Linked DNA regions of Saccharomyces cerevisiae S288C. The protein of the gene in region 4 interacts with the protein of the main gene of each other region in a biochemical or structural test. Each region holds a gene or a part of one and is shown on either strand. Other genes may lie near its edges. The genes, in order: BOL2, CMK1, BUD32 and GRX4.

Evidence for each region.
Region 1: the proteins of GRX4 (region 4) and BOL2 form a complex in vitro, tested with the Saccharomyces cerevisiae proteins (one study listed by BioGRID).
Region 2: the proteins of GRX4 (region 4) and CMK1 form a complex in vitro, tested with the Saccharomyces cerevisiae proteins (2 studies listed by BioGRID, with this or other methods).
Region 3: of the proteins of GRX4 (region 4) and BUD32, one has a biochemical effect on the other in vitro, tested with the Saccharomyces cerevisiae proteins (2 studies listed by BioGRID).

Annotation. Positions count from the first base shown.
Region 1 is NC_001139.9:75,042-83,236, reverse strand, and holds BOL2 (Bol2p), read right to left. Parts: upstream 864-8,195; coding exon 501-863; downstream 1-500. Other genes in the region: ERMES complex subunit MDM34, read left to right, coding at 1-359; NIF3 (uncharacterized protein), read left to right, coding at 945-1,811; EDC1 (Edc1p), read left to right, coding at 2,051-2,578; Golgi transport complex subunit COG1, read left to right, coding at 2,872-4,125; SDT1 (nucleotidase), read left to right, coding at 4,380-5,222; VRG4 (GDP-mannose transporter), read right to left, coding at 5,330-6,343. UniProt on the Saccharomyces cerevisiae protein: Involved in the regulation of the iron regulon in response to decreased mitochondrial iron-sulfur cluster synthesis. May be involved in mitochondrial organization and biogenesis.
Region 2 is NC_001138.5:168,061-175,415, forward strand, and holds CMK1 (calmodulin-dependent protein kinase CMK1), read right to left. Parts: upstream 5,818-7,355; coding exon 4,477-5,817; downstream 1-4,476. Other genes in the region: DCV1 (Dcv1p), read left to right, coding at 1-436; YFR012W-A (uncharacterized protein), read left to right, coding at 1,164-1,250; IOC3 (Ioc3p), read left to right, coding at 1,862-4,225; glycogen (starch) synthase GSY1, read right to left, coding at 6,205-7,355.
Region 3 is NC_001139.9:1,011,018-1,019,640, forward strand, and holds BUD32 (serine/threonine protein kinase BUD32), read right to left. Parts: upstream 6,743-8,623; coding exon 5,957-6,742; downstream 1-5,956. Other genes in the region: TNA1 (Tna1p), read left to right, coding at 1,468-3,072; APL6 (AP-3 complex subunit beta), read right to left, coding at 3,304-5,733; SAY1 (steryl deacetylase), read right to left, coding at 6,950-8,224; methionine--tRNA ligase MES1, read right to left, coding at 8,581-8,623. UniProt on the Saccharomyces cerevisiae protein: Component of the EKC/KEOPS complex that is required for the formation of a threonylcarbamoyl group on adenosine at position 37 (t(6)A37) in tRNAs that read codons beginning with adenine.
Region 4 is NC_001137.3:535,686-544,000, forward strand, and holds GRX4 (monothiol glutaredoxin GRX4), read right to left. Parts: upstream 3,484-8,315; coding exon 2,749-3,483; downstream 1-2,748. Other genes in the region: ATP-dependent RNA helicase BRR2, read right to left, coding at 1-336; RAD24 (Rad24p), read left to right, coding at 615-2,594; TMT1 (trans-aconitate 3-methyltransferase), read right to left, coding at 3,779-4,678; YER175W-A (uncharacterized protein), read left to right, coding at 4,965-5,129; ECM32 (RNA helicase), read left to right, coding at 6,005-8,315. UniProt on the Saccharomyces cerevisiae protein: Monothiol glutaredoxin involved in the biogenesis of iron-sulfur clusters. Binds one iron-sulfur cluster per dimer. The iron-sulfur cluster is bound between subunits, and is complexed by a bound glutathione and a cysteine residue from each subunit.

The DNA.
Region 1 (8,195 bases), on a different chromosome or scaffold from region 4:
GCAACGACGACAATGCCAAACCAAGGAGAAGAAAGATCAAATGCAAAAAGACCCGCACACCATCGAACCTACAATCACAAGGAGAACAGGCTGTTGATGATAGTACTGCTATTGAAACAGTTACGTCCACACCGGTCCAAACACCGATACCCGAGCTTGAAGAACAATCTCCCCCATATTTGAAAACAACAGTATCGATAAGGGATAAATACGTTATACCAGAAAAAATATCGCTAAATTTGGACTCCAAGAAAGATACATCTAAAAAGAAACCGTTTTACTTCATAGGTTTGAACTCGCAAGAACCTTCAAATAACTGGAAATGGGGCATGGAGGATAGCCCCCCACCATATCATTAAATTAAGTTACATATCTAAGTACATAACTACACAAATACATACTCTCCGATGTAAATAACGTAAGAAAGCAAAATCGTCTATGCCAAAAAGATTCAATGCCGTCTCCTTTCGAAACTTAATAATAGAACAATATCATCCTTTTCATACCACAATCTTAGACCATTCCTCCTCAGTGTAGCACTTGCAGCTAAAGGCATGAATCTCCTGCAGCTCTTCTTTCACAGCCTTGTTCACTGCACGACTCCTCATTAGTTTGCTTTTACCTTGAAAGAAGTCGCTGACCACCACAATATCAAACGACTGACCACAACCGTACGAAAGATCCGTCACAATGATATGGTAAACTTGCGGTATGGCTGATTCTATCCTCTCGCGGAGTCCCTGTTCAGTAACGGGCATCTTATAGTGTCGTTGGCGCTTTGTTTCTCTCCACTGAGTTGTTAGGAAATGTGATTTTGCAAATTCGTCATTTATTTTCACCTTTTCAATTCTTTCACCTGTCATATATATGTATATATATAACACCGAAAAACTTATTCCAATACACAGTCGGAAGGAAACAGAACAAGAGTCCACCGAAACGCAATGAGCAGAGCTATTACTAGAGCACAATTGGACAAACTTGTGCGTAGCATTACCAAGTTCTACCCTCAAAAGTACGCAGACAAGAGCTGGGACAATACGGGTCTTCTCATCGATTGTTCCACTGCACAAGTCACCACTGCCGATGCAAACGCTAAAACAAAGGTCCTTTTGACTGTAGACCTCACGAAGTCAGTTGCTCAAGAAGCTGTGGATGCTAACTGCAACGTAATTGTTGCTTACCATCCTTTTATTTTCCCAAGCTGGAACAGATTAAGCCCACATACAAACCCACAACACGAGACAGCTATAAAGCTAATCCAGTACGGAATATCCGTATACTGCCCTCACACTGCCGTAGATGCCGCTCGTGGCGGTGTAAATGACTGGTTGGTTAGGGGTTTGAACAACGGAGAGAACGTCGCAAAGTCTTATGCCTTGGAAACTGTAAGTGGCGAAACTGACGACTTGATTGGCTACGGTAGATTCGTAGAATTCAATAAAGACATCTCTTTGGAGCAAATTGTCAAAAATGTCAAGCGTGTTTTACGGGTTCCCTATGTACAAGTAGCATCTCTTGCTGCTCCATCCGCATGGAATCAACTCAAAATCAAAAAAGTCGCTGTCTGTGCCGGGAGCGGTTCTGGCGTGTTTAAGCAACTAAAAGAGGACGTAGACCTTTACTATACGGGAGAAATGTCACATCATGAAGTACTGAAGTGGAAAGAAATGGGCAAGACCGTTATTGTTTGCAACCACTCAAATACTGAGCGTGGATTCCTTCAAGACGTTATGAAGGGCTTGTTGCAAGATGAGGGCCACGAAGTAGTCGTAAGCAAAATGGATTGCGATCCTTTGACTGTTGCATAGCTGCTAGTAATTATATGGCTATATAGGATATCACAAATACCATACGTACTACAGTTTTATCATCCGGCTGTTCGTGTAAAATGATGTTGTTGTATCGGATAGAGAAATACGGATAGAAAAGGTAAAAGTCTTCAAATAACAAGGACAATAACATACTCTGTATTGAAGACGAAGTACTCAGCAAAGCGTAACGTAATTACACTTAGCACACAAATATACTCACACAAATATTACAAGGCATGTCGACGGATACCATGTATTTCAACAGCTCCAGGCTGTTGCCATCGGCTGGCAGGAACAAGACAAATAATCTAATCAAACAAAAAACTAGAAATAATCGTGCGAGGGGAAATGCTGCTAAGAACGCCAATAATAACAACTATATCACAGATATACCACCTCCTCAAACTCTTCCTAACGGTCAGAAACCTAACTTCGGCCATTCTTCCAACAAGAAACCATCATTTAATCAAAAGAAGCACTCTCCACCTTCTTCCCCTTCCTCTACAACTACTTTAGGTAAAAAAAACAGACAGAATAATAAAGAAACGCCACGACAGAACAACAAAGATGATACTCGTTTACTGAGTCAGAACCTAAAGAATCTGCTTCTGAACCAGAAACAATCCCCGCATGGCTCTCAAGGGATAATACCAATGGGTTGTAATGGCAGTGCCAAAAAACTCAGTCACTCTTATGCAGGCTCCACTTTCGCCACTAATGGTCCAAGGGAGGCTAAAAACTTGCCCAAACCAAGTTTTTTATAATCACCCTTTAGAGAGACATTTTTGATTTTTTTTTTTTTTTTTTTTTTTTTTTTTTTAGAATAATGCATATTTTTATTTGATATATACCTATGTACCAATTATACGAATGCTTATGTCTGTTTTGGATCTGGTCATCCAAAGCAATTTCTCAGATGACAATTTTTTTTTCCTATTTTCTGTTACAGTTCATCATTATGCTGAAGAAAAATGAAACATGGCGGTGAATAATAAATAACACATTCGTACAACAAATCTTGTGGTAGAAAACCTAAAAAAAACCAATACGATAGAAAATGGATGAAGTCTTACCATTGTTTCGCGATTCTCATATTCCACAGATTAAAGATTATCAATTGGAGTTACAGAACGATTTGACTAAAACCAATGAGGCCTTCCAAAAGAATTTGCTAAAGAACTATAACAAGATCTTAAGCTTGACCGATTCTGTTAATGACTTGTCGCTCAATTTGAAAAATGTTGATCAAGATTTTAAATCCCTGTGTTTCAATGATGAAAAATTTCAGTTGAATAAGTTAACTCCACTACCATACCAAACCACTACCCATATATCACCACCTCGTGACGAAGAAAAAGTCAGCATACCATCGCAAAACATTTTAGTAATTTCAAATTGGACCATCTCCATCAACAACTTCTGTAATCGTATAGTTACTTCCACTACTCCGTCGCGGATATTCGACGAGCTACTGTTGAATTTCCACGAATTATCTTTGATACCAGTTCCTTCCAAATTTGAAGCGCTTGTCAAGGACAAATGTTGTCGACTACAGAAGTTCTTGGTGGACTCTATGAAGACATTAAACTTAACTTTACTACAGTGGGTAAAACTATACAATTTACTAAACACGGAGTTTTCCTCGAAGTGGGACGATGATTTACTTTCTATATTCAATGAATCCCTATTCGAGACACTATTTAACGATAACGTTCAAGCGTTACTGATATCAAGTGCCAACAGCAAAGATCATCAATATCACTCCAATCAGCAATATAAGGACGCGATTGTTGTCGATTTTGTGAATTCGTCCACCTTTAGAGACCATCTCATTCGGAGAACCGTGAAAGAAATAAACACACATTTGGATACACTCTCTACTTTGAGAGCCAAGCTTAAGGAGCCTGAAACTCTTCATAAATTAGATATCTTCCATGATAATGATACGAACCTCAATGATGGCACTGTATCTCCACTTGATGATGATGCATTGAAACAATATATTGATACAGCGGTATTCTATTCAAAAGGTTTAACCAATGATACCACGTTGCAAATTTATCAAACGGTGCAGCCTACGATTGAAATCCTACAAAACTTAGAATTGTATAAATGCCCTCAAGAGACACTGACAGATTTGAGAAATAAATTGATTACTCAATTGCAAGAGTTTAAGACTCAGATCTCATCCCGCTTACCTTCACCACTGGAAAACTCAACGAGTGTTGTGGATGATTTTATAACTTCGTACAACAATCACAATCTCTTGCAATTAGTCATCGATCAAATTACTCAATTAAGGCAACAGTAATATAATAGCACGAGGGAGGGTACCCGCCTCGCAAACTTATTGATAATGATAATGGTATGGGCGTTGATATATACATATATATATATATATATATATATATATATATATACATAATATATATATGTTTATCTGTGTGTATCTATGTGGACTTCAATAAGTGATCGCCTTCTTGATATCATATTACTCCCCCATTTCACCTGAATTAATTTCGGAATACATGAGTAAGCTCTTGGACCGAATCATTACTAGGCTTCATGACTGTTGAATATACTGCATCCGATTTGGCAACCTATCAGAATGAGGTGAACGAACAAATTGCCAAGAATAAAGCACATCTTGAATCATTGACTCATCCAGGTTCGAAAGTGACATTTCCGATCGATCAAGATATTTCTGCTACACCTCAAAACCCGAACTTAAAAGTTTTCTTTTTTGATATCGACAACTGTCTCTATAAATCATCCACGAGAATTCACGATCTTATGCAACAATCTATACTGAGGTTCTTTCAAACACACTTGAAACTATCACCTGAAGATGCTCACGTTTTGAATAACTCTTACTACAAAGAGTATGGACTTGCCATAAGGGGACTTGTAATGTTCCACAAAGTGAACGCACTGGAATATAACCGGCTTGTGGATGATTCCTTACCACTACAAGATATCTTGAAACCTGATATACCATTAAGGAATATGCTGTTGAGATTGAGACAATCGGGAAAGATTGATAAATTGTGGCTTTTCACCAACGCTTATAAAAACCACGCAATACGTTGCCTGAGATTGTTGGGTATAGCGGATTTATTTGATGGATTGACATATTGTGACTACTCTAGGACAGATACGCTGGTCTGCAAACCACATGTTAAAGCATTTGAAAAAGCCATGAAGGAAAGCGGGTTGGCAAGATACGAGAATGCTTATTTTATAGATGACAGTGGGAAAAACATCGAGACAGGTATCAAATTGGGCATGAAAACATGTATTCATTTAGTTGAGAATGAAGTAAATGAAATTTTGGGGCAAACACCAGAAGGCGCTATTGTCATTAGTGATATATTGGAGTTACCACACGTTGTGTCCGACCTGTTCTAAGGTATATCAATTTTAAGTATAATTGTATATAAATCTACTTGCATTAGATGCCTCTATAAAATAAAATAAACCAAAAAAAAAAAATAAATTGCACCCCCCGTAAGTTCTCATTTACGTAAAGGTTGGGCTTGTTGCTTCTTTTGTTTGGCAACAGCATAAATAATACCTGATAGGAAACCAATAAAAATGGAGAGAATAGATAAGAAGTTTCTTGGAGCATCAAAGAAAATCAAACCAGACAAGGCAATTGGCAGCTTGTTCAAAGCCCCTACCATCGAATATGTAGTAGACGAAGTAACACGAACACACCAACCGGAACAGTAAGAAATACCGACGGATGCAACACCACTGATGATCATAGCAGTTAGCGAATCGTTAGAAAAGTTATTGGTCAAATTAACTGAAGACCAATCTTCCACACAGAAAGAAAACAGCAATAGAATAGGTAGAGCCAAAACATTGTTGTAAAACATAGTGTCGAAATCCTTGAAGTTAGTTAACTTAATTCTCTTTCTCATTATAAGAACGAATAATGCAGAAGTGATACAGTTGGTGAACATCCAGAAATAACCTGGGTTAAAGGAGGCAACAGCACCGGCTGCTCCTTCAGCCAATGAAGCAGCCTTGGCAGCCACAGCTTGCTGGTCACCCCAAGTTGCAACGACAGAAGAAAGGACCATCAACAAAAATGATGACAATTCCATGGAGGTGACAGAGCCACCAAAAAAGAGAACCTCACCATAAGCAATCAAGATAATAGTCAAATTCTTGAAAATGGTGTAAATTGGAACAGCCAAGTATTGTAAAGCCTTCGAAGAGGTGTAGATCATCAAGACCAGTAAAAAGGAAATAGGGAACCAGTTCTTGGCGTCTGTTTTGTTTAATGAACGGAACTTCGCATAGCCCAGTATACGTAGGATAATCAAGGTTATAGTACAAACCAAAGATTGCACGAAAAGCATGACAAAGTTCATGTTGAAATCCTTCAAATTGACGACGAACTTGTTAGTCACCGTCATTAAAATAGAGGAACCACAGTAGGATAAAATAGAGATCGGACCGGAATTGGCAACTGAAGCCCAAGGGTTATGGCCTGCATGACCTGTTTTCAATTCAGACATTCGGGCGAAAGATACTGTGTGGTTAGTGTGTTTGTTTTCTTAGGCTCTTTTGGTAATTAAGAGGATGTCAACAATTAATCGGCAACAAGAAATAGGCTTGGCAGCGTTATATATATTCTGTTTTTCTGTTCATTGTTTGTTCGGATCGCGAAATTTCAATTTTTTTCTTTCTTTTTTTTTTTTTCGGCCAAAACTATTATCCAAGGCTGGGTAAGAGGATTCTGAAAAACCCGTTTAGCTTTTCGTATATTGCGATTCATTACGCGTTTAGGCGACGTGTCTTCTTTCGTCAACTGTGATATTTTTCGTGTTATGGGCGGCTAATTCTTTATAAAAAGGGAAATTTAATCATTATGGCAAACTCAAATGGTGTTCCTACATCTATATACCACCATGCCACTTTGTACCACCAGTCATATATTTTCTTCTACTCATAAGGGAGCCGCATATATATATGGCGCACATTGCCATGGTCCATTACAAGCTTTTTTCTCGTAGCACTTTAGAATGTCTATTGAGTTGCAATATTCAGGCAAAAATGCGTTCTATCTTCAGAATGTAGCTGTTGAAATTGTTGTTTGACTTTTTTTGGACTAGTAGCCGTCTTATCGAACCAAATAGAAGCATATGTTACCTCATTATTCTCTCAATATGGTATTGGAGCGGGTGTGGGTGTGTTCCTTTTGTTCTTAAACGATAGGTACGCATTAAACACCGCTTATGCAGATGGTACATCATATACTGCTTATACCCTTTCCTACTTCAGATGAATATGCAAAACATGTACCGCAATGATGCGAGAGTAACTTTAACAAGAGCTCTTTCGCGTGTGTAGCGATAATATTCAGGGGCGACAAGTGTAGTAATGAAGATATAGTTCTCACCGGTACCTAGATGTCACTACTCGGACACCAGATTACTGTAGCAAGCAAGGTCAATGTCGAGACTAAGCATGATCATAAGTATTGGCGCCCGACATTGCATTTTTTTCCTTGAGATCATATCACAGTGCATGCCATCACAAATAGTTACTTTGATTATTTCAGTGCCATCGCATGACTTCAGTTTTATTACACCTTTAATGATGTAAAAGCGCCGTCAAGATACTAATATAGACGCACGAGTTTCGTTCGCGCGTCTTGGTGAGATTGAAAAGTTATTTTGCCTTTCTTGTCGAGATGATGGTATTTCCCTTTTTTATTTAACATTCATTAATTCCTACCTGTAGTTATCAACCTTTACAGCAACGCAAGTGAAGTGGCTTACTATATAAGCGTAACTCCAATGTGCTTGGTTAGTTTTGGAAAATTTCAAGGCGTTGTTGCAGAATTGTACCTTTAAACATGTCTACAACAACTATGTGGATGTAGCATCTCTATCATGACGCAAACGCAAACATCTCTCTCTCTCTCTCTCTCTAAGTCGCATGTTAAGGCCGATAGTACTGGTTTAACAGGGTTTGCCAAGGCCTCAATCGTTAAGTTAGCTTCTCCACTTTCCCCAGCATCAATCTTATGGTATGATCAACAATCTACGAGGAATTGCAGAAATGATACCTGTATCACAAAGGAATTTGCGTATCATAGCGTCAACTGGAACCATGGATGGAGCTGAGAATTTATTCCTCATAAACGAATTCAAGTTTCTTTCGCTCTGCCAACACAAAAATTTCAATTTCTGTCCTACTTATGTCCTATGAGAGCCATAATTTACACCTCACGTACATAGTTGCGGTAATATGATAAGTACACTTTTTCTGTGCTTCATTATCGTAGCGATAGGTATACCACTCATCGTAAGTGTGGACGTAGCGATGGAGGTTTCTGTGCCATTACCACCACAACCATTCTAC
Region 2 (7,355 bases), on a different chromosome or scaffold from region 4:
CTGCTCTCGAGTACGTTTAATATATAACACCTCGAAAGAAATATTACCTGGCCCTTCTCTTGAACGTTGGTGGCTGAGTCCTAAGGCAAGACATACAATAGGAGGACTTTTGATTTCGATACCGGTTGCTACATGTTTGACTTTCATTTCTTTTGCACTTCCCTTGGTTATTATTTTTCTTTTTCAGACTGGAGGAACTAATGTCTCACTTATTACTTCCAACGCTATATTACACATATTGACACTTTTATCAACTATTTTTGCATGCACCGTGATCCTGTTACTTTGCATGCACCGTGATCCTGTTACAATTTCATCCTTATACGACTTGGTGTGGCTGGCTAACTGTTCCCTGTTCCCTCTGCTCGTTATTGGCGTGCATTTTCTCAGTTTTAGGTTTGATACGTCTGCGCAGTCAGACAGAAAACATAGCTAAAGAAGCTAGTATAGAGAACGTAGACAGTATTCTCAAACTATATGGAACGAGTCAAACATCAAGTTCCCTTGGCGAAAATTATCCACAAACAACTAAGGGCACAGACCAATCTGTGTATGACATCACAAGTCTTTTTAATGATCTACCAAGGACCTTAGATCCCAATCAAGATAAACTGGCGGTAACAAATCAAGATGAACCACCGCCTGAAATCAAATCTCCATTGAAGCAAGCAGGTTTGGTGAGTTTCTTCGCTCCAAAGTTGAATGGTAAACAAATATTTTCTAGAAGGCATGTTGAAAATCAAAAATCCTTATCTTTGGATGAAATCAATATAACCGACTTACCTGCAAAGCAAGAAAATGTGGAAATGCCTACTGAAAAAAAAAAGGCAAATATTTTATATTATGAGGGAATCTCAAGCCATTCACAAGATAACTACGACCCTCCTTGGTTATTTGGCGTTGAGGCTACCCAATCAGCCGATTGCTTTAAAATATATTCAAAAAAAAATCATTGTCTCACAGAGCCCCGCCAATATCAACTACAACAACCAAATAATTACCAGGATCAAAGTGAGGTTCCTCATAACTCTTTCATTCCTTGGTATTCCCGAAGAAGACCAGTAGGATACAACCACAATTACAATCGCTACTACTCACAGACAACTCATGGTAACAGCGAACACTCCCGACAAACATTGCCACAGACCTACAACATACACAGCATGCTCCCCAGAAAGTACAAGCCCGCCTACAAAAAACAGGCACATCGTGTGAAGAGTAATCCACAACCAGCTTATACTTTCCAATGACAAAATAACAAGAATAAAGTACTATCCAATCTGCTTTTTTTGTACGCGTTTTGTTGGCGCGCCGCAATTTGAAAAATAAGAATAAAGTACTTCTTGCTACTATTTAATGATTCCATCCGTATTCCACATCGTTGACGTCTGAGTCTGATAGACTAGTATATAGAAAATAAAAATAAGATAGAGTAAATAGTATGCTACTTTTATCGAGCCCATCTTTTTGAGCTTAATTTCTGAAACAAAGAAAGGAAGTGCCCATTTTTCCTCTTAACGGTTTCTAAAATTACTGAAGAGAAAACAACTTTTAGATGTAATTTATTTACATTAACATTAGCAGTGACTACAGAGGACAGGTATGGCGGTATGGCGGTATTTGTTAACATTGACTTTCCTTATGCGTGGAAGTACTAGTAATATTCCCTCTCGGATCATAAAAGTGAAATATCGTGCTTCACGATTTGCTGAAACTTTAACAAATTCATTGAAATTACGTGAGTTTATACTAATGAATGGACTTAATTTCTTAAGATGGTGATATCTTCCACATTGGTTTCGGCCAACAAAACTATCACTTACCAAGTACTTCAAGCAAAGTTTGCAATCCCCTATTGTTTATGGATTCTCCATCCAATTCTATCCAGAATTTGCAGCAAGAAGCCCAGGGCAGCTCTTCCGCACAGCTTGCTGACCATGATCATGATCGCGTATCAATGGCTATGCCCTTACAAACCGATCAAAGTGTTAGTGTTTCACAATCTTCTGATAATTTAAGGAGATCAAGACGTGTTCCTAAGCCAAGAACGAGCATTTATGATGAATACGAGGAAGAGTTAAAGGAAAGGGCGAATAAACCCAAGAGGAAGAGACCTGCTCCTCCTAAGAAAAAGGCACCTTCCACACAGAACTCTAAATCAAATGATAAAGTAGAGAAAAAGAAGACTACCTCAATTGCTAAGGATGGCAAACCTACACTGAAGACTAATGACAAAAAAGTGGCGCCGAAACCTAAACCAGCCCATGAACAAGTAGAACCCGCTTTGATCCCTAGCAATTGGACTTCTGTAATACCCTTGCTTACTTCTGATTTCAAGAACCAGTATAGTGTCATCTCTAGGTTAAAAAATCCGAACATGAAGCCTGTGCCATATGCTGGAGATATCATTAAGCTGATGGCGTTCATAAATAAGTTTAGTTCTTTTTTCCATTCTGACCTACAAAATTTATCATTCCAAGATTTTGAGGTCGGTTTAGATTTGTATCCCGGCGATCCTAATGGAAGCGCAGCTGGTATAGTGAAGGGTCCTGAAGACACCTCCTTATTGCTATATCCTGATTTTATGGCCATCAAGGATATCGTCTATTGCCAAGACAAAATGAATTTACTGTTCCTATCCTTGTTAGATTTAACATTTACTGAAAATTTTGATGGTAAAAGTGCCAAGAAGAAAGGTCCATTAACAACCTGGGAGAATCTAAAATCGTCCTCCAAGAAAGTATTTTCCAATCCTCTTTATCGGTTAAGACTTGTAGCTCGCGAATGGGGGTATCCACGAGAATGGCGTCAACAACTCCCCAGTGACCAAGATATCTCCAAACCTAAAACTGCTCTTTTTGAACAAGATGAACAAACACCAGTGGTGGATCCCAGTCATCCAGAAATTTTAACGCCAAATATATATACCTGGAATGCTAATGAACCACTCCCATTGGAATCAAATCCTTTGTATAATCGAGAAATGGACAAGAATGGAATTTTGGCGCTCAAACCAATGGATCGCGTTGTTTTATTGAGGGCGTTAACTGACTGGTGCGCTTCCCATTCATCTGCTATTCATGACGAGATATACAAATTAACTCATGGTAAAAAAGATCCCGTTTTTGGCATCCAAACACAACAAGTGCCTAGGTATACAATTGAAGGGGTAGATAATACCATAAATCAGTTTAAAAAACTCTGCTCACTAATTCAATCAAGATATGAAATCAGAAGTAAGAAAAAACATTTTGTTAAACAACTAAAAGAGGGTAAAAAACCAGATTTATCAAGGAAGCTAGAAATACTGAAGGAAATTAAAGCGGAATTGAAGAACGCTGTAAAATCCGAAAAGGATGAACTTTTGTTCTCACTGTACGACAAGTGGGTCCCATTGTTTGAAGGCGAATTACCTGATCAACCATTAGCCAATCCTTTTTCGGAAAGACTTTATAAATTGCGATTACAAGAGTTCTTCCTTGGTAGAGTTCCCCATATAGGTGATTTTTATATGCCAAGATTACACAGTTATGGGGACTCACTCGAAATGAGCACCTTCACTGATTTGAGAAATCTACAAGCATTGCTATCGAAATTCAAAAATAATGAATACAACGCTTTTACACTGTTTGAAAATGATGGACAATCGATGAGTGCCCAATTCAAATTGTTTTACCATGACACACCATCGTTGGCGCATGATGTTGCACGAGGCAGAAATACATCGGGGAAGGTTTATTGGTATGAATTATGCCACGATTCAGCAACACTGCTGGAGTTCTTGGAGTTCTTGGACTATAAAATTGTTAAACCTCAAGATGAGAAAAAGGAGGGAAATGAAAAAGAAAAAGAAGCACTGAATAATGAAGCGCACATATTGGAGCAGAAATCTACCACTGATAATAATCCCTCCATAAATACAAACCCGCTACCAAAAGACGCAAAATATAACACTGCGAGAAAGAAGTTACAGATATTAAAGGAATTTTTATCTGATTACTATTTCATTCTTCGTCAGTTTGAACAAATGAAAGTGCAATTTGCAGACATGAAGCCAGGCAAGAGACAGTTGAGAAGGATACAGCGACAGACTGTAAACTATAATACGGAATATGATAGCGAGGAATATGTCGATGATGAAGAAGACGACGAAGCTGATATTTATGATGACAACGACAATGATTCTTCTTTTGATGATGGTAGAGTTAAAAGGCAGCGCACTTAGACAACTAGCTTTCAACGAACGTGAAGATTGTGAAACTCCTTACAGGCTGCATTTCGATTAATTAAGTAATGTAAAATTAAGACTATTAGTACATAATTAGATACGCGTATCTTTTCAACTAAGGCATAAAAAAAAAAGGTAGAAAGTGAGGACGAAAAAGTGCAAAATATCAAAGTCAAATCTTGCGCATATTCGAGCTTACAAAGTCATTGAAGATTTATTCGCCAGTGTGGTAAAACGGCATACTGTTATCATTCTTCTGTTTTGGTATCCTTCCCCTCTGGTTTCTCCTTCGCCTCATCCAAAGACTTTATATCACTCCCAGGAAGATCGCTATCAGAACTACAGACTCTGTTAATATTTAAAAATTTTTCCTTTTCGGCAAGCACTGTGTTAACTAATTGTGCAAAAGCTTTGCTGGTTAACTCGGACTTCAACTTAGACTGTTCTTCTTCTGATAGCTTCTTGGATAGTTGACTGGTATCCGTTGCTTTCAATGGAGGAACTGAACCGTTTGCTTGACTTCCTTCGTCAAAATCTGAATCACTCTCTGTCTGTTCAAGATACAGATCTCTTAATTTCTGGATCTTCATGTTTAATCTGACTCTCTCAACAGAATTACGGAACTTTTGACGAGCATCCAATCCTTCCTTTAACCCAGGCAATAAATTGTGCGTCTTCAATTCGGTACAAATAATCCATGGATCTTCCAAGAGTTCTGCGGCGGTCGGTCTCTTTGAAGGATCCAAATTAAGAGCCTTCAAGATGAATTGTTTTGCTTTATTGGAAACGGAATCCCAATAAGGCCTATGAAACTTCACTGGATACTCACCAGTTGTGCATTCGTCAAGGAAATCTTGAACCCTTTCGGCTCTAAACGCCGAATAACCGCAAAGCAAAGTATACGTAATGACACCTATCGACCAAATGTCGCAAGGTTTACCATGACCGTCCTGAGTAAGTACCTCTGGAGCCACGTAACCCAGTGAGCCTGCCGGCTTATAGAGGAGTTCCTCATCACTTTTCAATCTCTTTGCGATACCAAAATCAGCAACTACCAGTGGAGATTCGTCACTTTTATCTATATACAGTAAATTTTCCGGTTTCAAGTCCCTATGAACAATATTCTGAGAATGCATATATTTGACTGCGCTCAATATTTCAACCAAAATTCTCACTGCATCTTCCTCAGTGAACTTACCCTTCTTCAAAATCCTATCGAACAATTCACCCCCTTTGGCTAATTGCGTGATAATGTAGAACTTGTCTTTTGATTCAAACCAATCCTTAAATGCCACTATATTTGGATGATGCAGTCTTTGTAAAATGTCTAACTCGTCGTATAAAGCCTCTAGCTGAACCTTGTTTCCCTTTAGTGCTTTCTTGATCAGGATTTTAACGGCCACGTCCTCCCCTGTTTCAGTGTTTTTGGCTTGTCTCACCACACCAAATGTACCAGCACCTAATGTCTTCCCAAAAACATATTTTTTTTTATTCACGTACGAAGCAGGCTGCACATGTGCCATTTTACCTTCAGAATCCTCCTCTGTTTGTTTTGGGGAGCTCTCCTTTTCTGAAACTTTGTCGTCCATAGTAATTGACTCGTTATTTTTTCTGGTGTCTTCCAATATTATATAATTGTGAGTTCTCTACGAGAATTGAAACCATTTATACTCTGGCTTGTAGTCGATGTGGCTTTCGTTCTTTTTATCCCCTGCGTAGGTAGCTCGGCTGCACCATTCTAAACGCGGGGGGAGTTTCTTTTTTTTTTTTTTTCAGCCTTTTCTTCGTAAGCAAAGTATCCCACGTAAAAGGTTCCTTATACTAACACATATGTACTGTAAAGGTAAAATTACTTCTATTTTTTCTACTGCTATTATTTCTATGTACTTATACAAGAATAACAGAACGTGCAATACTAAAATTAATTTGATGCTCAGCTAAAAGAGTAAGATATGTTAGCAGAAGTTAAGATGGTTTTAATTATCCTCGTAGTATGCAGACGTATCGTTGTCATCATCGTCATTGTCGATGGCTCCATTCGTGCTCAAATTAAAATAGTCATCTGCATTATTAGCATCTTGAAGGGTACCTAAATCGCCCGGAGTCATGTAAACAGTACTATTGGACCTTACTTTGGGGGATCCGGGTACACTCAAAGGCCTGGCAATCTTGAATTTCTTGCCACCGGCAAGAGTATTCATATTGGCGTCACTAATTGTTTCACCCACCAGTTGCTTGAACTGCTCTGGATAGGCCCTACGAAGACCCAACTGTCTAGCCTTAACGTATTCCAACCCCATTCTCTTCCAATCTAACAAGTCTGATAGTCTTTCGGTTCTGTTTCTTTGGTTGATTCTTTGTCTTCTGGTCTTGTTTACAAACTCTTCCATGTAGTCTGCTAATTGCTCGACAGATTCATCAGGGCTCTTGAAACGACGGTCTACAATATAAATACCATAGTCTTTCGCTTGGTCTGTTTCAATCAAGTCTTCCATGTAGGCACCGAACCCAGAAACGTTTGTTGTGATAGATGGGACACCCATGACGGTACATTCTGCTGGCGTGTACCCCCATGGTTCGTAATAGGATGGAAAAACACCCAAGTGACAGCCGCGAACAAACTCGTCATAATCCAAACCAAGGATAGGGTTATTGGCGTTTAAGAATTCAGGATGGAAAATCACTTTTACACGATCACTCGAATCATTGAATAATCTAACATGTCTAATTTGGTTTAAAATTGGATCGTTAGCATCATCGCACATGTTATGTGTGACTACCGGAGGCAATTCCCCGTAAGGTCTTCTCAGCGCCAATACCCTTTTCTTCAGCAAAACCTTTTCAGAACTCTTCAACAGCTCATCTAAATTAGTGGGCAACTCTGATTCTAGGCCATTATGAGGGTATCTCATCGTATGCTCGAAAATTCTCTTCCCAATGGATGCGGTGACCTCATTAACAGTATTTTCCAAAGATTTTACAATGGCTTGGCTTTTCAGTGCCTCCACAGTGAAGGAATTGGTTTTGGCAGGCATGATCAAAAACGCTACCACCGTCTTCTTGGATCCAGAAACCTTCAATCTGTAATTGAGACGAGCCAATGATTCAATGAACATGTCAGCACCTT
Region 3 (8,623 bases), on a different chromosome or scaffold from region 4:
TATTGGGGTCACACCACTCATTGACTCACATCCTCTGGAAACATCAAAAAGCTACCAAAAAAGAAAAAAAAAAAAATTCAAGTGCGAAGTTTCCGCATATGCAAACCTTACTTATTGTATAATATTGGTAACAGCAGCTACTAAGCTCCCTGACTCTGATTTCTCTCTCTGTCTCTTTTGAGGAGTACCTTCTGCGCTACTGTGTTCCAATGGTATCTGCGCCTTGAAAATCAATCACAAACGCTCTTGCTATGGCCTGCCTTGGACACGATACGTCGCTGCTTATGCCGCCAGGTGTCAGTAAATGCTCTGACGCACCCATTCACCCCGCGCACTAATTTGCAAAATTTGGGGGCAGTTTGGGAATACTCCATAGAAAAAATCGACTTCAAATCAATTCCGCACAACGTCGCCGTGTTGGCTAAAGTGAACGGAAAATGGACGACATGGTAAAAGAACAGATATGTACATATACAGAAGCCGCGATTTCACATGCCGGCCATTATGGCACACAACCAGGTCTTGTACTGTCACTATGTGCGTTCCGGAACGCCTGTACAGTCCATGGTGAACCATTTATTTATTTATTATTATTATTTTGTACATTATTATTTATGCTATATGTTATTATTATTATCACTATTTAATATTATTATTCGGGTCCAGGTGAAATAACAAAGTCTGGCGCCAGTCACTTGTCTGGGTGCCCGTATTCTCTGTTACAGCGGTATCCCTCTGGATTCTGCAATCGTCGCCGGCTTCTACTAATTTTTCCTTTCCTTTTTGTTTTTTTTTTTTTTTAGTTTTTTATTTTCTAGTTTCCTGCTCGTATTCTGTTGGTTTTTCCAGTGTCTCTCTCCTTTTACAAGTCACCCATTCTCTGCGAAGAAGCGGTCGCACCAACAAAATAGAAAATACCACCGGACGCCGGATCGCTTATTACTCGCAATCATAGTTACCAATCACAGCCGGGCATACTCGGGATCTACCGTAGAATCCTATGCGTCACACATGAGGACAGGTTACGAACCGTCGAAGGCTTCGCGGCGTGTGTGATTAGTATTGTTTTGACCTCATCCATACACCCTGAAATATCTGTCGCATCTCCGATTACGTTAAAAATTCTGGATAATATATAAACCATGAGTTTTCCTTTCTTTGAAGTATGTTCCTACTCGAGATCCTTTTGTTATTTTATTGCCATTTTTTTTTTGTTTCATATGTACTTCTTATCTACTATTTATATTTCTCTATATTAACTAACTCTCCAAGCTATAAGCATACGTCCATATTTACTGTCTTAGAAGTCGTATTCACATCACAGTTTTCCCCCTCTTCGCCTTTTTCAAACTATTTTCCCCCGTGAGACAGCGACTGAAAAAAAAACGACTGCGCAGAAGGCTTATATAAAAAAAAAAAGAAATATTTCTTCACTTTCGAGCATTGAACTATTGTCATTACCTCTAGATGAGCAACAAATTTACAATGGAGTCACCTAAGCATTTGGTGGATGATGTGCTTTTCATATCACCCACCAATGATGGATCAGAAGAAAAGCCTACGGAAGTCACGTTCCAGGAAGATGAAGGCCATGACGCTAGCTTGCATAATCGCAGCCATGACAAGAAGTCGGAACTTGCCACCGAACGGGAAATTATGGCTACTACCACGGATGATGACGGCATCCCCTCCCCTTCCCATCCAATGGAAAAGCGTGTCTTGCGCAAAATGGATATATACTTGATTCCTCTTATGGGGATGCTATATTTCCTTTCTAACCTGGATAAATCGAATATTGGTAACGCAGAAGTTGCAGGTCTATCCAAGGATATCCACCTTGTAGGAACGCAATATAACACATGTGTCACAGTTTTTTTCGCGACGTATGTTCTTTTCGACCCCATAGGTACTAACCTTCTGAAAATTATGGGTCCGCCATTAATGATGAGTATCTGTTTGACCTGTTTCGGTGCTATTTCGCTCGGAACTGCTTGGGTTAAGAATTATGCTCAATTGATCGTTGTCAGACTACTACTGGGTGCCTTTGAAGGTATGATTTATCCCGCTATTAACATGTACCTTTCAGTCTGCTATAGAAGAGAACAATATGCTCTGAGGTTCGCTTTTGTCTTCAGTGCAGCCTGTTTGTCTTCATCTTTTGGTGGGCTGATTGCTTATGGTTGTTCCAAAATCAGCGGTTCTCTAAAGGACTGGCAATACATTTACATTGTCGAAGGTTGTATCTCTTTGGGGTTCGTACCATTCTATGCCTTCGGGTTGAGCAAAAATTTGGAGGATTCGTGGTTTTTCAATAAGGAGGAAAAAGAGTACATTTCCGAAAGATACAAGACTATGAACACTTTTGACCCGGACGAAAAATTTGAATGGTTCCAAGTGTGGCAAGCAGTTAAGGATGTCAAGACTTGGGCTAGTGCTGTGGCATTATTCGGTATCGATTTGACTACTTTTGGTCTAACAGTCTTCTTGCCGATCATCATTACCAGTATGGGGTTCACTAATGTCAGAGCTCAATTAATGACCGTGCCCATCTATTTCCTTACAGCAATTGTGTTCTTCATTTGTGCCGTTTGGTCTGATCGTATAAAGTTGAGATCTCCATTCATCCTGGGTGCTTGTCTGACGACTTCGATAGGCATAGCTATCGTCCTTGGTTCTCAAGTTCATGGTGTGAGATATTTTGGCGTTTACATTCTTTGTATGGGTATTTACGTTAATGCTGCCTGTAACTGTTTATGGTTAAGTGGTAACACTGGTAATTACTTCAAGAGAGCCACCGCTTTAGGAATTAATCTATTTTTCGGGTCTGGTTCAGGGTTGGTCTCTGGTCAAATTTTTGTTGCCAAAGACAAGCCAAGATATATCAAAGGGCTGTCGATTAGTCTGGCCTTTCAAGTCTTCTCCATATTTATGACGGTTGTGCAAATTTTCCTATACAAGAGGGAAAACGATAAAAAGAAAGCAATAATAGATCGCTGTAATGAATTGGGAGAGCCTATTCCATACGACGAAAGGTTAAGCGACAAAAACCCTGAGTTTAAGTACATGTATTAGGCTTGACTTTCTTCACCCTCCACTTTTTTTGCCCCTCGTTATGAGTGTGTTTGCAATTTGTAACTTTTCTTTTATATTTGTATGTATTTTTGTACTAAGCAAATTCACATGAAACTTTGTTTACCAACTTCTCTTTTGTTTTCGTCCCAAACACGTATATTACTGGGAAGATATACATGCCTATATCTATATCTATAAATATACATATTTATATAGTATTATCTCCGAGTTCTAAAGCTCCAGATGCGAAGAAGACGTTCCCGAAGAAGACGTTCCCAAAGAAGAGTCACTATACTCATCATCGTCACTGCTCTCTTCCGATTCGTCTTCATCCTCGTCACTGCTTTCTTCCACCACCTTTATAATTTTCCTTGGTTTACTCTTCCTTTCTGGAATGTCGGAAAAAAACTCGTCCAGGCTTTGCAAACGATATTTCTTCCCGTTTTGAGATGTGAAGGTGTTTACGTTACCTTTACCTGAGATGCTATTGCTATCGCCGTCATTGATCCCAGTCAATTTTGCGTTGGAGCTAGATGTGAAAGATCTTGCTGAGTTGTTGGTAATAAAAGACTGCGATGAAAAACTTTTTTTGTATTTGTTATAGTCTTTCAATTCTGCGCCTTCTCTAATATCGTTACCTGTCTCGCCAACCTCAGTAATTTCAGTATTCCAAGGAAGCATTCTAAAAAATTCTTTTATTTCTGGGGTATGTGTTTCCAATCTTGCAGAAACGATAAAATCGTCACTTCTTGCCGTAGGTTTAGGTGCTTGTAATAGTAGTGACACAATTTCATATTTCCCTGAATCAAACAAGGATGAAATCATCCTGGCTCTATCCCTAATATCAAATTCGTCATCATATTTTGCCAAGTAAAGGACCGCATTGTACATTTGAGAGATTCTTGAACCACTAAAATCATAGTATGGGGGATTTTGGTTATTTTCTTCGCTTCCAGTAACTTGCGCTTGCTTAAAATTATCAATGTCATATGACAACAGTTTTGCTGATAACACTAAGATCTGACATCTTGTCTCAGGACCCTCATTTGAAAAATTCTGGATTAGCCTCCTCAAAACGTCCGGACATATCTTAAATTCAATCGAGGCAATTTCACCAAATAACCAAACAATACCTGCACGAGCATTATCAGCCAAACTCGTTTGAACTGTTAATAAATCTGCAAGCTTGAAGATTATGCGAAGATGTTTTGTAGGATTTTTTTGCACCAGCATCCTGATAACATTCACGTATGCATCTAGGACAGAAGCAGAGAGGTTGTGGGATTCCATATGATCAATTAACCACTTCATTACATGTGATTCCCAACTCGTTGACAATTGGCCACATCGAGATAATGACTTAACCGCCATAATAACAACATTTTCTGGGAAATGAGCACTGGCAACATAATATTTCAATTCTTTGAATATTTCTTTAACGTTTGATTCATTTATTAACGTGGACAAAATTTGGATCTTCCAAATTGATGCCACAATAGGATCTTTGGGGAAAACGTAAAATTTCTTGGTGTAGGGTAAAAATAGTGTCTGGTCTAAGATCGATAAGAAGTGAATTGCTTGTAAAAGCATTTCTTTGTTACCTTGGTTTTCTGTCATGGTTACCGTTCTAACCAATGCTTCAATAAATTTAGTATTTTTCATCTGCAATGGTGAAGCTAACTGATATAGCGCATTGCAACACGATAAAATCACTGTAGGGTTGGAACTATAAATTAAGCAATTCAAACTCTGTAGAAATAAATCTAAATCAGGGTCATTTACCACCTCGTAAGATGGGTATTCAATCTCGTTGTATTTATCTGGTAAAGGACAACTCCTTGGGGAACCTTCTGATGATTTATCGACCACAGTTGGTTTTGGTAAATACTGCTTACAGTACTTGATTAGCAGCTCAATTAAATATGATTGTGACCACGAATCTAGTTGCTTAATTATTCTACAATATCTGCGAAAATGTCCATGCAATAGCTCCAAGTGATCCGCATAACATTCTTTGTAAGCTAGGACAGCACAGGATATCACCTTAGGATCTGTATCTGCCATTAATTCTTTCAGAATATCCAACAATTCTTCATGATAGTCATTCTTTCCAGCCCTATATAATTTGATAATGGCCAAGGCGACTTCACCACGAACCATTGCAGATGGATCTGTAACCAATTTCTTGACAGTATGCAAAATTATAGGTGCTAATGATGACATTTTCATGTCAGAAAGGGCACTCAAAGCAAAGCATCTCAGTTCGGAATTCGAATCAGACAATGATTTTTGAAGAGAATTAATAGATAACAGGGTCAGGTTTGGGTCATTTTCTGCAAATCTAAGTAAATACAGGTGAATAAGTCTTTTCACTTTGGTGTCATTAGTGGTGATATTCTTTACAACATCAGCAAAGTATAATTGAACGTCAATAGAGTCATCATCGGAAGCCATTATAGATATTATTCTCTTCATTGCATCTCTAACTTCTCTAGAGTTCCTAGAATTTAACAAGGTGACTAACTGTTGAGGATTGATGTTTTGAGAATAATAAGTATAGGAGGATTCACCCAGCTTAGAGGTGGCTACCGCGGCAGCTTCCCTCGTTATTACTTTGGCCGTATCCAACGCCGATGCAATACGGTGAATTGAATCTACCATTGCTGGTTGTCCACTTTTCGATTGTTTGCTGTCTTTGGTTTACCTTTCTTTTCTTTATATATTTATATATATGGTTCTTCAAAAATGATTTGTCTGAATTTGTCAAAATCTCAATAACTCGGACACGCTTTGATGGTAACATACCTAAAAGTTATGTACGTTAATATAAATTATAGATACATATTATGTGCAGCGATATACAGGCAGTACGCTAGCATTTATATTATCCTAGCATACTTCTCTTACGACCACGCAACCTGACCTCTTCGAATCTTTTGGTAACTTCTTTCAGTTTCTTGGCACCTTTCGCACCTTGTTCACGATAGACCTCTTCGAACCCCTCCATGATCCAAGCATTGTATTTTTCCGCATGCTTCGAATGTGTACTTAAAATAGCTCTCTCTAAGACGTATAAATCGACGCCTTTATCTTCGACCAGGTTTGAAACTGAGCCCAGACCGAAATCAATCAAATGAGGCGTCCATCTCGCACCATCTCGCACGAGAACAATGTTAGAACTTGTCAAATCACCATGACAGTAGTCATTCCAGTGCAACAACCCAATTTGGCGCCCCACTTTCCGTAGTGTAGTTGCTACAAGATCACTATATGGATCTTGGTCATGCATCCAAAGGAAGTTCTTTAGGTTACTAAAACCGTGCCCTCCGGGAAGATCTTCTCCAAGGAACTCTAACCAAATGAATCCATTGTATGGATCACACGCTATCAGTTGAGGGACACATAGCCCTGGAATCAAGTATAATTTGGCCAATAAACGCGACTCATTCAACGTACGATGTTTTGTTAGTGCCTGGTCTATTTGTGGATGTCTATAACGCTTTGGTGGCCTATATTTGATAATATACTTTTGATGAGAATCCTTTGCTCTTGGGAGATATGGGTGAGTAGTCGTTGTGAAAACAATGGCTTCTGCACCTTGAGAAATAGGTGCAATGTCCACATCAGGAGTCAGGTAGGAAGATACTTTATCAATGAATTCTTGCGTCATAATGAGCAAAGCGTATAACCTTTTCCGCTGTCGTATTCATCACTTATTTGATTTCAAGTAAGGTTATCTTTGTCCTTCAAGTTGGTGATGCGCCGGCGATTTTTTCAACCTTGTTGCTGCTAAAATAATGGAAAATCAAAATAAATTTGTGCTGACCCAAATATTTATGTATATAAAAGGGGTTATGTAATTGTCATTATGACAAATTCAGGATTGCATAAACTCAAGAATGCGAGCGATAGATGGTATGTTGGTCCAGCGATCCATATTACGAGAGTAGTTTAATATTGGGCCCGTATGATAACCTTGGTGTTCAACCAGCACATTTTTGGCGGTAAAGTGGTTACATCCCTCGCTAGCGTCACTCATTTTCTTTGCCAAGATCTTGTTTTGAAAGCTCAACAACTCATCACTACCATAAGTAATCATCACAGAGCACTTTTTCAGAATATCTTGCCACATTTTAGTTTCGAAATTCTTTTCAATATTAACAAAAGGGTCGCTGGTAAAATCGACGTTTGGGTTGTTTCCTACAAACATTCGCCCAAACATCGAATGACTCTTCAAACATAGACCATCCCATTCTTGTGTTCCTTGCATATATTCCTTTTCTCCCTCGTGGAAGAAAGTGGCATTGGCCCAGGGACTTATGGCTATGACTTTTTTCGGGTATATTTCTCTGTGACACTTTCTTAAATATAAAACAATGTTCAAAACAGCATTGCCACCAGCAGAATCCCCCATAATCACTACATTTTTGCACCCCATAGTCTTAACAACGTAATCAAAAATGGCCACATTTTGTAAAATTTGCAGAGGGTACTTTTTCGACTGGTCATCGGTAGCTGTAACGGTATAATCTGGTACAAGAATGGCCATTTTAGGAAAGGCATTTCGCATATTATTCAAGAAAGAAAACGACGTAGGCGTCAATTTAAGAGCATAACCACCCCCATGATAGAATACTAAAACTGGATCTGTCGTGGGGTCAAATCCTTCCGGCATAACATATTGATAAAACTTTGTGCTAACTATTTTGGGTGCGTTTAATTGATGGTCTTGGAAAATATTGTTTTCTGGAGATTTCTGATCTTCTATAGGAATGTTGCATTTGACATATGTTGGACTAGAAAATGTAGAAGGATATAAACAAACAAATAAAGGATTGAGCACGTATTGACAGATGCGTTCATCGAGGATCCAAGAACTTTGTCTTAAAAAACTTCTGTTGACATGGTCAAGGCAAAACCTACGTTTGCGTTGAAAAATGATCTTCATACTGTCGAGGATTATAAATACAGGCACCACTGTGAACAATAGAGCGGCAAATTTCAATCCATGGAACAAATGCAAATGGATGGTACTCAATCGAAAGCCCGCATCATTTTGATCTGCATCCTCACTTGATACAGCGCTAATAATTTCATTCTCTTGAAGCCGATAATATTCAACTTTTGAGTCGAGACCAGAGTTGGCTGCCATTCTTCTTTGAAACCTTTTCCTTTAAAATTGATTTGTGCTGTTCTCATTTCAAGCGACGCAGGGTATTTTTGGTTTTCAGTTTCTTTTTCCCTCAATTCTATATAATTATGGCGCTAACACGTTAAACATTTGTTATTATAAAGCAGAAGTTATTTATCAGAAATCAAATCATGAATATTCTCAGCTTAACACTACACAATTACTCAACTAAAAGAAAGGGTATAAACGTGTTAGCGGGAGAATTGTTTTTTAAACTTGTTTTTATATCAGAGTAAAATCTATATATTAATTGATACACTTTTATCATGTGAAGATTGAAAGGGAAAAGAGAGGAAAAAAAATGCTTCCGATGAACCTTACACTTGTTGACCACCATATTTGGCTCTCCATTCATCGATT
Region 4 (8,315 bases):
CTTTGGATAATAATGTAACCTGAAATCGGAGGAAGAATTCAAAATGGTGTTATGCTGCTGAATTTTTTTCAATGATGCGCTCTTTCCAGTTTTTTCAACGGCTACATCATTTTCTTTTAGTCCTTTATTAATGTTATTGCACAGGCCCTGTCCCATATCCTTAGCACTAATTCTACCACTCATGGATTTTGGTTGTGATATTTCCGCATCCCTTTGAGGATTTTGGCTGGTATTCATAAAGCGTTTATCAACTTTCAACACCTTATTGGACATCTCATCATAACGATAAATTTCTCTAATTTTTTTGGCCTTATCCTTCGTTTCATGCTCAGTCATTTTTAATAACGAAGGCTCACGGTAAATCTTCCAAAGCAATTACTTATATTTACCTTCACCTTATTTTACTCAAGATTATCTCTATTAGTGTATTATTCCTTTATAGTAGACATAGCTTTAGTAGCATAAATTTTTAATATTCTCGTAAAGAGCGACAATATTCAATATTAGATCGTCAAAGAAGCAAACACGCATTGATATCTGAGAGATCATCACAATGCGTTAATAGTACTTGATTCAACACCACTAATTATCAAGTTTGTTCCTGTCTGAATGATATGGATAGTACGAATTTGAACAAACGGCCCTTATTACAATATAGTCTCAGTTCATTGGGCTCGCAAATAACAAAATGGAGCTCATCTAGACCGACTTCGCCAGTTCGTAAGGCGAGAAGCACTGAAAATGACTTTCTTTCCAAGCAAGATACGTCTAGTATCCTCCCAAGTATCAACGACGACGGCGGTGAACAGTGGTACGAAAAGTTCAAGCCCAATTGTTTGGAGCAAGTGGCCATACATAAAAGAAAACTTAAAGATGTACAAGAAGCTTTAGATGCCATGTTTTTACCTAACGCCAAGCATAGGATCCTACTACTGTCTGGCCCCAGTGGATGCTCTAAAAGTACGGTCATAAAAGAACTCTCAAAAATCTTAGTTCCTAAATACAGACAAAACAGCAACGGAACGTCCTTTCGAAGCACCCCGAACGAGCATAAAGTGACCGAGTTTAGAGGTGATTGTATAGTCAACGATCTTCCTCAGATGGAAAGCTTTAGTGAGTTCTTAAAAGGCGCACGGTATCTTGTGATGTCCAACCTGTCATTAATACTTATCGAGGACCTTCCCAACGTCTTCCATATAGATACCAGACGTCGATTTCAACAACTTATATTACAGTGGCTATATAGTTCGGAGCCTCTATTACCTCCCCTTGTTATATGTATAACTGAATGTGAAATTCCAGAGAACGATAATAATTATCGCAAATTTGGTATTGATTATACATTTAGTGCAGAAACCATAATGAACAAAGAAATATTGATGCATCCAAGGTTGAAAAGAATTAAGTTTAATCCAATTAACAGCACTTTATTAAAAAAGCACTTGAAATTTATTTGTGTACAGAATATGAAAATGTTGAAGGAGAAAAATAAATGGAATAAAAGACAGGAAGTCATAGATTATATTGCGCAAGAGACTGGTGATATTAGGTCGGCCATTACGACCCTTCAATTTTGGGCGACATCAAGTGGAAGTTTGCCGATTTCAACCCGAGAATCCACCATATCATACTTTCATGCCATTGGGAAGGTGATACATGGTTCCCATAGCACGAATAACGATAACGAAATGATTAATAACCTCTTCGAAAATTCGAACAATTTGTTATCGAAAGAGGATTTCAAATTAGGAATATTAGAGAACTATAACACATTTAATAAAGGCGAATTCAGCATTTCTGATGCATCATCAATTGTGGATTGCCTGAGCGAGTGTGATAATATGAATGGTCTACCAGAATCCAATGAGTATGGTTTACGAGAAGTGCGCAAAACCTTTCGTAACATCAGTAAACAAGGCCATAATCATGGAACGGTTTATTTTCCAAGAGAATGGAAAGTAAGAAAATTACAAAATTCATTTAAAGTTCAAGCTGAAGATTGGTTAAATGTTAGTCTTTATAAGTACAACGCGGTACATTCTTTCAGGAATATAACTCTAGAATTTGGCTACTACGCACCTCTAATTAGAAAGTGTCAGAGTTATAAAAAAAAATACATTCTCTATTATTTGAAGAATCTTCCGAGTGGCTCCTCGGGGCCCAAACAAACCATGGACAAATTTAGTGATATAATGAAAGTTGAGAACGGAATCGACGTTGTGGATCGGATAGGCGGGCCTATCGAAGCACTATCTGTGGAGGATGGACTAGCACCATTGATGGATAATGATAGCAATAATTGTGACCATTTAGAGGATCAAAAAAAGGAAAGGGACAGAAGGCTTCGCATGTTGATTGACCAATATGAAAGAAATGTGATGATGGCTAACGACGATCTTGAAGACGAAGAAACTTCTTTTAATGATGACCCTATTGTCGATAGCGATAGCGATAACAGCAATAATATTGGCAATGAAACATTTGGTAGAAGCGACGAAGACGAGTCTCTATGTGAAATTCTGTCCCAGAGACAGCCGCGTAAAGCGCCAGTTATCAGTGAGTCCCTTTCAGATTCAGATCTGGAAATACTCTAACTTTTTACTCTTTAAATTTGACGAGAAAACCCCAGGAAATATTCCACACAAATCTATGCACATTACATTCTAGAATAAATTAATAAATAAAAATATATACATATATATTAATATGTATATATGTATGAATATAGTTTTCATTACAAAATAAGGCTTACTGTAGAGCATGTTGGAAATATTCAGGATCTTCTTCTATAGATTCCTTGATAATATCCAAACCTCCCTGGAACTCCCCATTGATATATAACTGAGGAAAAGTAGGCCAATCAGAAAACTTCTTCAAGCTTTGTCTAACGTTTTCGTCTCTTAATATATCAAAAAATCCGAACCTTATTTGGTGTTCTCTGAGGATACCAACTAACTGTCTAGAAAATCCGCATTTAGGTTCTGATGGGCTTCCTTTCATGAATAGCATCACAGGTGCAGCTTGTACTAGCTTCACCAGCCTAGCATTTATTTCTTCTTCAGTTTCGTCCTCTTCATCATCGGAAGACCCGCTGCTTTCCTCATCAGACGTAGATTTAGGACCCTTGGCATTGTTCGCTAGTGAGGCAGAAGCATTCGAAAGAATTTCTAAGCTTTTCACAAACTCCTTAGGATCTGCGGCTGATATTTCTTTTACAATAGTACCATTTTGAATGAAGACGAAGTATGGTACGGCTGCAATCTCAAAAAGGTCTGATATTTCTGGATGTTCGTCTGCATCTATTGATAAAAACCGGACATCCTCTTGCCTAACTTTTTCACTAACAGCTTCTAGCACCTGGCTCATAGTTTTGCAAGGATCAGCCCATTGAGCTTTAAAATATAAGACAATGAGTTTATTAGCAGCGTTTGTAGTGGTTAGTTGCGTAAATTGGTCCTGGCTTTTTATTTCAACCACAGTCATATTTATTGGAGGAAGAGCACAGAAATTTAGTTATATGTAAGTGGAAAAATGAAATATGCTCAGTACCCAAAGACAACAATGTTACCGGGAAAACGAATCAACGTTCCTGGCAGTAACAGATTAAAAAATGGTTCAACTGGTACAGTATTAATATGCTATTTAAGCTAAATATCAACCAGTCTTCAGATATGGTAACTTTTTCTAGGACATCTGTGAATACGTCGCGAGGCTTCACCAATTAAAACGCGCGCTCTTACTAAAATTTCACGAATATAATGCTTATTGGCTGAAATTTTCAGACCCTTTTGCCAAGTTTGTAAAAAGTATTCCAAACAACTTCAATTTTGGTGTTGGTGGAAAGTTCCGGCCTCCTCCTTAGTGACTCTTTAATAAACCAATCTGCTACATCTTCTTTATCTTTGTTCTTTGGATCCTGCTTCCACTGATGGTAAGCGCTCCAGGTTCTGACATAATCTGCAAACTCCACTAGGGTGACCTGCTTTCTGATTAGCAATGGCTTCTTTGTATGCTGGTGGAGTTTTACTTTGTCTCTCACATCTTCTGCACAAAAATATGAAACTTGTATATCATGGAAAAGTTCTGGGTCTAAGTGAGAGTCTTTCAGCATATTACGAAGGCGAGATCTCCCCGGTTGTTCCCAATAGGGTCCCAGTCCTTGCTTCCCGTAAGGAACTTCAATCATCAGATCATCAAATTCAGGGTAGTCCGGGAAAATTGGGTCCGCATAACCCCAAATAGCGATAGTACCATCTTTTCTCAAATTGGCATAAGCAGATCGCTGAAATTTTTCGAAATCGAACCAATGAGCACATTCTACTGCGGTAATCATATCAATTTTCTGTTTGTCTACTGAATCCGCGCCTAGGAATTTAAAATCATCACTTGAAGAAATCTTAAATGAAACGTTTTTGTATGTATCAGGACTTCCTTCCTTTATTACTTCTGCAGTCTTAATCATGGTAGCGGAGAGATCGCTTCCGATAATTTGTTCGAATGGTTTTAACTCCTGAGCCATTTGTAAAGTGGCAGTACCTGGTCCACAGCCAACATCTACGAGTAATTTCCTTTCTCCGTCGTGGTATTCATCAATCATCTTGTAAAAATCGGAGGGATAAGAAGGTCTTGAAGATGAATATCTTTCTGAGTTGAAATCAGAAGCAGAAAAGGTAGACATTATTATCACTTATTTTGTTATCTTGTTAGGAGATAATTCTCATAACAACTAATAAAGACTGCTACAACGAAAACATACTAAATTAGTTACATTCCTTTTCCTTTAAAAATGAAAATAAGGAAGATAAACTTTCGGAAAACCAGAAAAAAAAAGGATATTACTGTGAGTCATGAACATCAACACATAAGGTGTGATTCATTTATAGTAAACAACGGCAGAATTGCACCTAATTTTTCTGATTAGATAGGTTGATGGAACACCCTTTTTATTGGTCATTTAACAATGCATGAGACTACATAAAACATTTATCTGTTTTAGTCAAAACAAACGTGGTTGTAGAAATATTCTGCAAGAAAATTCGCGGATGATATTTGAGAATAAAATACTCATAATGATATTGAGGCAGGGTATATTTTTTAATATTAGCGTGAGCACCAAGATCAGTTTCTAAACATTAGCAAATTATTCTAGGTGGTATAAGACAGGCTAAAAATCTATAATTGAAATGTCAGCATCTTAAAATAAAACAGGAATTAATTTCTAAATACGCAATTGATCCAAGTGTTATGTCAATATGACTTACTGAGAACATACTCTGGCGGGCTTTACTTCCCGATCTCACATGTTGCCTTCAAGAAGCACAAAAAATTTGCAGCCCAAACACTGTCAGACACGGGAATCGATCTAACATCGTAAAATTTCAGCTGCTTCGATAAATTGGTACCCAAATATTGGAGAGACCTTTCACCACACCGACTTGAAATAGTAAACTCAAGCGCAATGATGAAAATTGGGTTGCAATGTATATTTGATATCACAAATACCAAAATTAGCCGCTTTTTTGGTACGCACTTATAATCGAAGAAATTGATTCTTTTTTAGATTTTTAACAAATGAGGTTATATGAGAATGAAGCAGGTCATAACAAGCGGAACCAAAGCTTACTCAAACAAGTTATCATTTCCAACTAAATCCTACTTGAACTGCACCTCTTAAAAGAAAGATAGAAATTCTATACAAGCGCTCTCACTCAATAAGAATTGTAAAATGAACATGACAGTGATGTGTCACACCTCGATCGGCAACGTGAATTGGTTACCGTCTATTTAGTAATCAGTACAGAGATATTGAAGATGCCGCTATTTTTTTTTTTTTATATTTCCGCCGTATTTTATTCCTGTGTAGTCGGGTAATGGATGCTATTTGTATGCGATTTTAGAGTCTTAAAATGCTCAAGAGTGATGTATAATGTAAGTTCATCATTTGAAGAATTCGAACAAAGTTGTGACAATATAAGGAGTTCCGCAGACTAAGAAGTACTACACGATGGATTTTCAGTGCAGAACGTGTAGCCAGGCTTATGATGCTGAGCAGATGATGAAGCATCTCTCAAGTACGAGGCATAAAACTGTATTCGACACTTCAAATGATGAAGATATTTGCTGTGAGGAATGTCAAGATAAAAATATACACCAACTTCAAATCATCAGGTTTGGGGGTGAAGACATGGTTTTACTTTGTAATTCGTGTTTTCGGAAAGAATATTCAGAAACGGAGCGTCCATCAACTAGCTACTCATTACAAAACGGCTCTATATTGAAATTTTGGGAAAAGTACGTGAAAGTCAGGGAATGTTGTTGTGATGAGTGTGGGGAAGAGTCTAACTTGAATGCAAATAGAAATGGAGAAGTATTATGTGACAAGTGCTTGCCCAAATCGAATAGAGCTAAAGACTTTGTTTCTGAAAAAAGTGGAAGATTCCTATACATCTACTTGGGACTGAATGAAACACAGAATAGCACTAGAAAGCCTAGAAAAAAGGGCGGCAGAAGAGTTGGTAGAGGAAAGAAGGGCAGGAAGGGTGCTAAGATTAAGAAGGAGAAAAAGGAAACTTTCGAGGCCAAAATAAGTAGAATCGCTTATGAAGTCAAGAAAGAAAATAGTACCATTCAAAGCTCTAGTAGTTCCAATCTAAGAAACTTCAAAGGTTTCAAAGCGGTGGAAAGCGATCCAGTAGTTGCAGCAAAAGTAAGCAAATCAGAGACTAGTAGAAGTAATCCTGGCCCATCAAATCGAAACAAAGGGAAAGGAAATAAGGCAAACCACAAAAAGAATAGTGGAAATGGGATAGGAAAAGAGAAAGAGAGGAAAACAAACATTAGAAATAATGTCCGTAACAGCCAACCTATACCAGAGGACAGAAAAAATACCAATAGCCACGTTACAACAAACTCTGGAGGGAAAGGCAAGAACGAATCAGTGGATAAGCACCAATTACCGCAACCAAAAGCTTTGAATGGAAACGGGTCGGGCAGTACTAATACTACTGGTTTGAAAAAAGGGAAAAAAGACCATGCTGGCCAGAAGACTAAGGGCAATGATAAAACGGGTAATAAGAATCCGCGAGAGGCCAAACTAAATTCAGCTGGCAGAAAGAATGCACTTGGCAAAAAATCAAATAACCAGCCAAATAAGGGAACTAGCAGGTGGACAATTGGATCTGATACTGAATCTTCTAGAGAACCTAGTATTAGCCCAAACGAGAACACAACTTCAATTACTAAATCGCGAAACCGCAATAAGAAGGCTAGCAAGCCGACGCTGAATGAAAAATCAAAAACAACAACGATGCCAAAAAAGTTGGAGACAAAAAATCAAGAGAAAAATAATGGAAAAACTAAGGACGGGAAACTTATTTACGAAGAAGGTGAACCACTCACAAGGTATAATACCTTTAAGTCAACCTTATCATACCCCGATTTGAACACATACCTAAATGATTACTCATTTGCCCTTTTTTTGGAACAGAAATTAGAGAACGAATTTGTTCAAAACTTCAACATACTATGGCCTCGCAATGAAAAAGATACAGCTTTTATAATCAACGTTGAGAAGAATAATAATTCAGAACTTGAGAAATTACTACCTGCAAATTTGCTTGCACTCGGTAGACCGGCATTTAATGAAAGGCAACCATTTTTCTTTTGTACTCAGGATGAACAAAAAGTTTGGTATATTTTTATCAAAGAACTTTCTATTCAAAGGGGTAAATACGTGTTGTTAGTGGAGCTTTTTTCGTGGAATAATTTGAGTTTGCCAACGAAAAATGGTTCATCTCAATTTAAGCTATTGCCAACTTCTGCGCAGACAAGTAGAATTCTATTTGCCATGACGCGTATTACAAACCCAAAATTTATTGACCTATTACTAGGCCAAAAGCCTATTAAAGAGATTTATTTTGATAACAGGCTAAAATTTTCCAGTGACAAGTTGAACCGATCTCAGAAGACTGCAGTGGAACATGTTCTAAACAACAGTATCACAATTCTACAAGGCCCACCTGGTACAGGTAAAACATCAACAATAGAGGAGATAATCATCCAAGTAATTGAAAGATTTCACGCATTCCCAATATTGTGTGTTGCCGCGTCAAATATTGCTATTGATAACATTGCCGAGAAGATTATGGAGAATAGACCGCAGATAAAGATCTTAAGAATTTTGTCAAAGAAGAAAGAACAACAGTATAGTGATGACCACCCATTGGGCGAAATTTGTCTCCACAATATTGTATACAAAAATCTTTCCCCAGACATGCAAGTCGTGGCAAACAAAACCCGCAGGGGCGAAATGATCT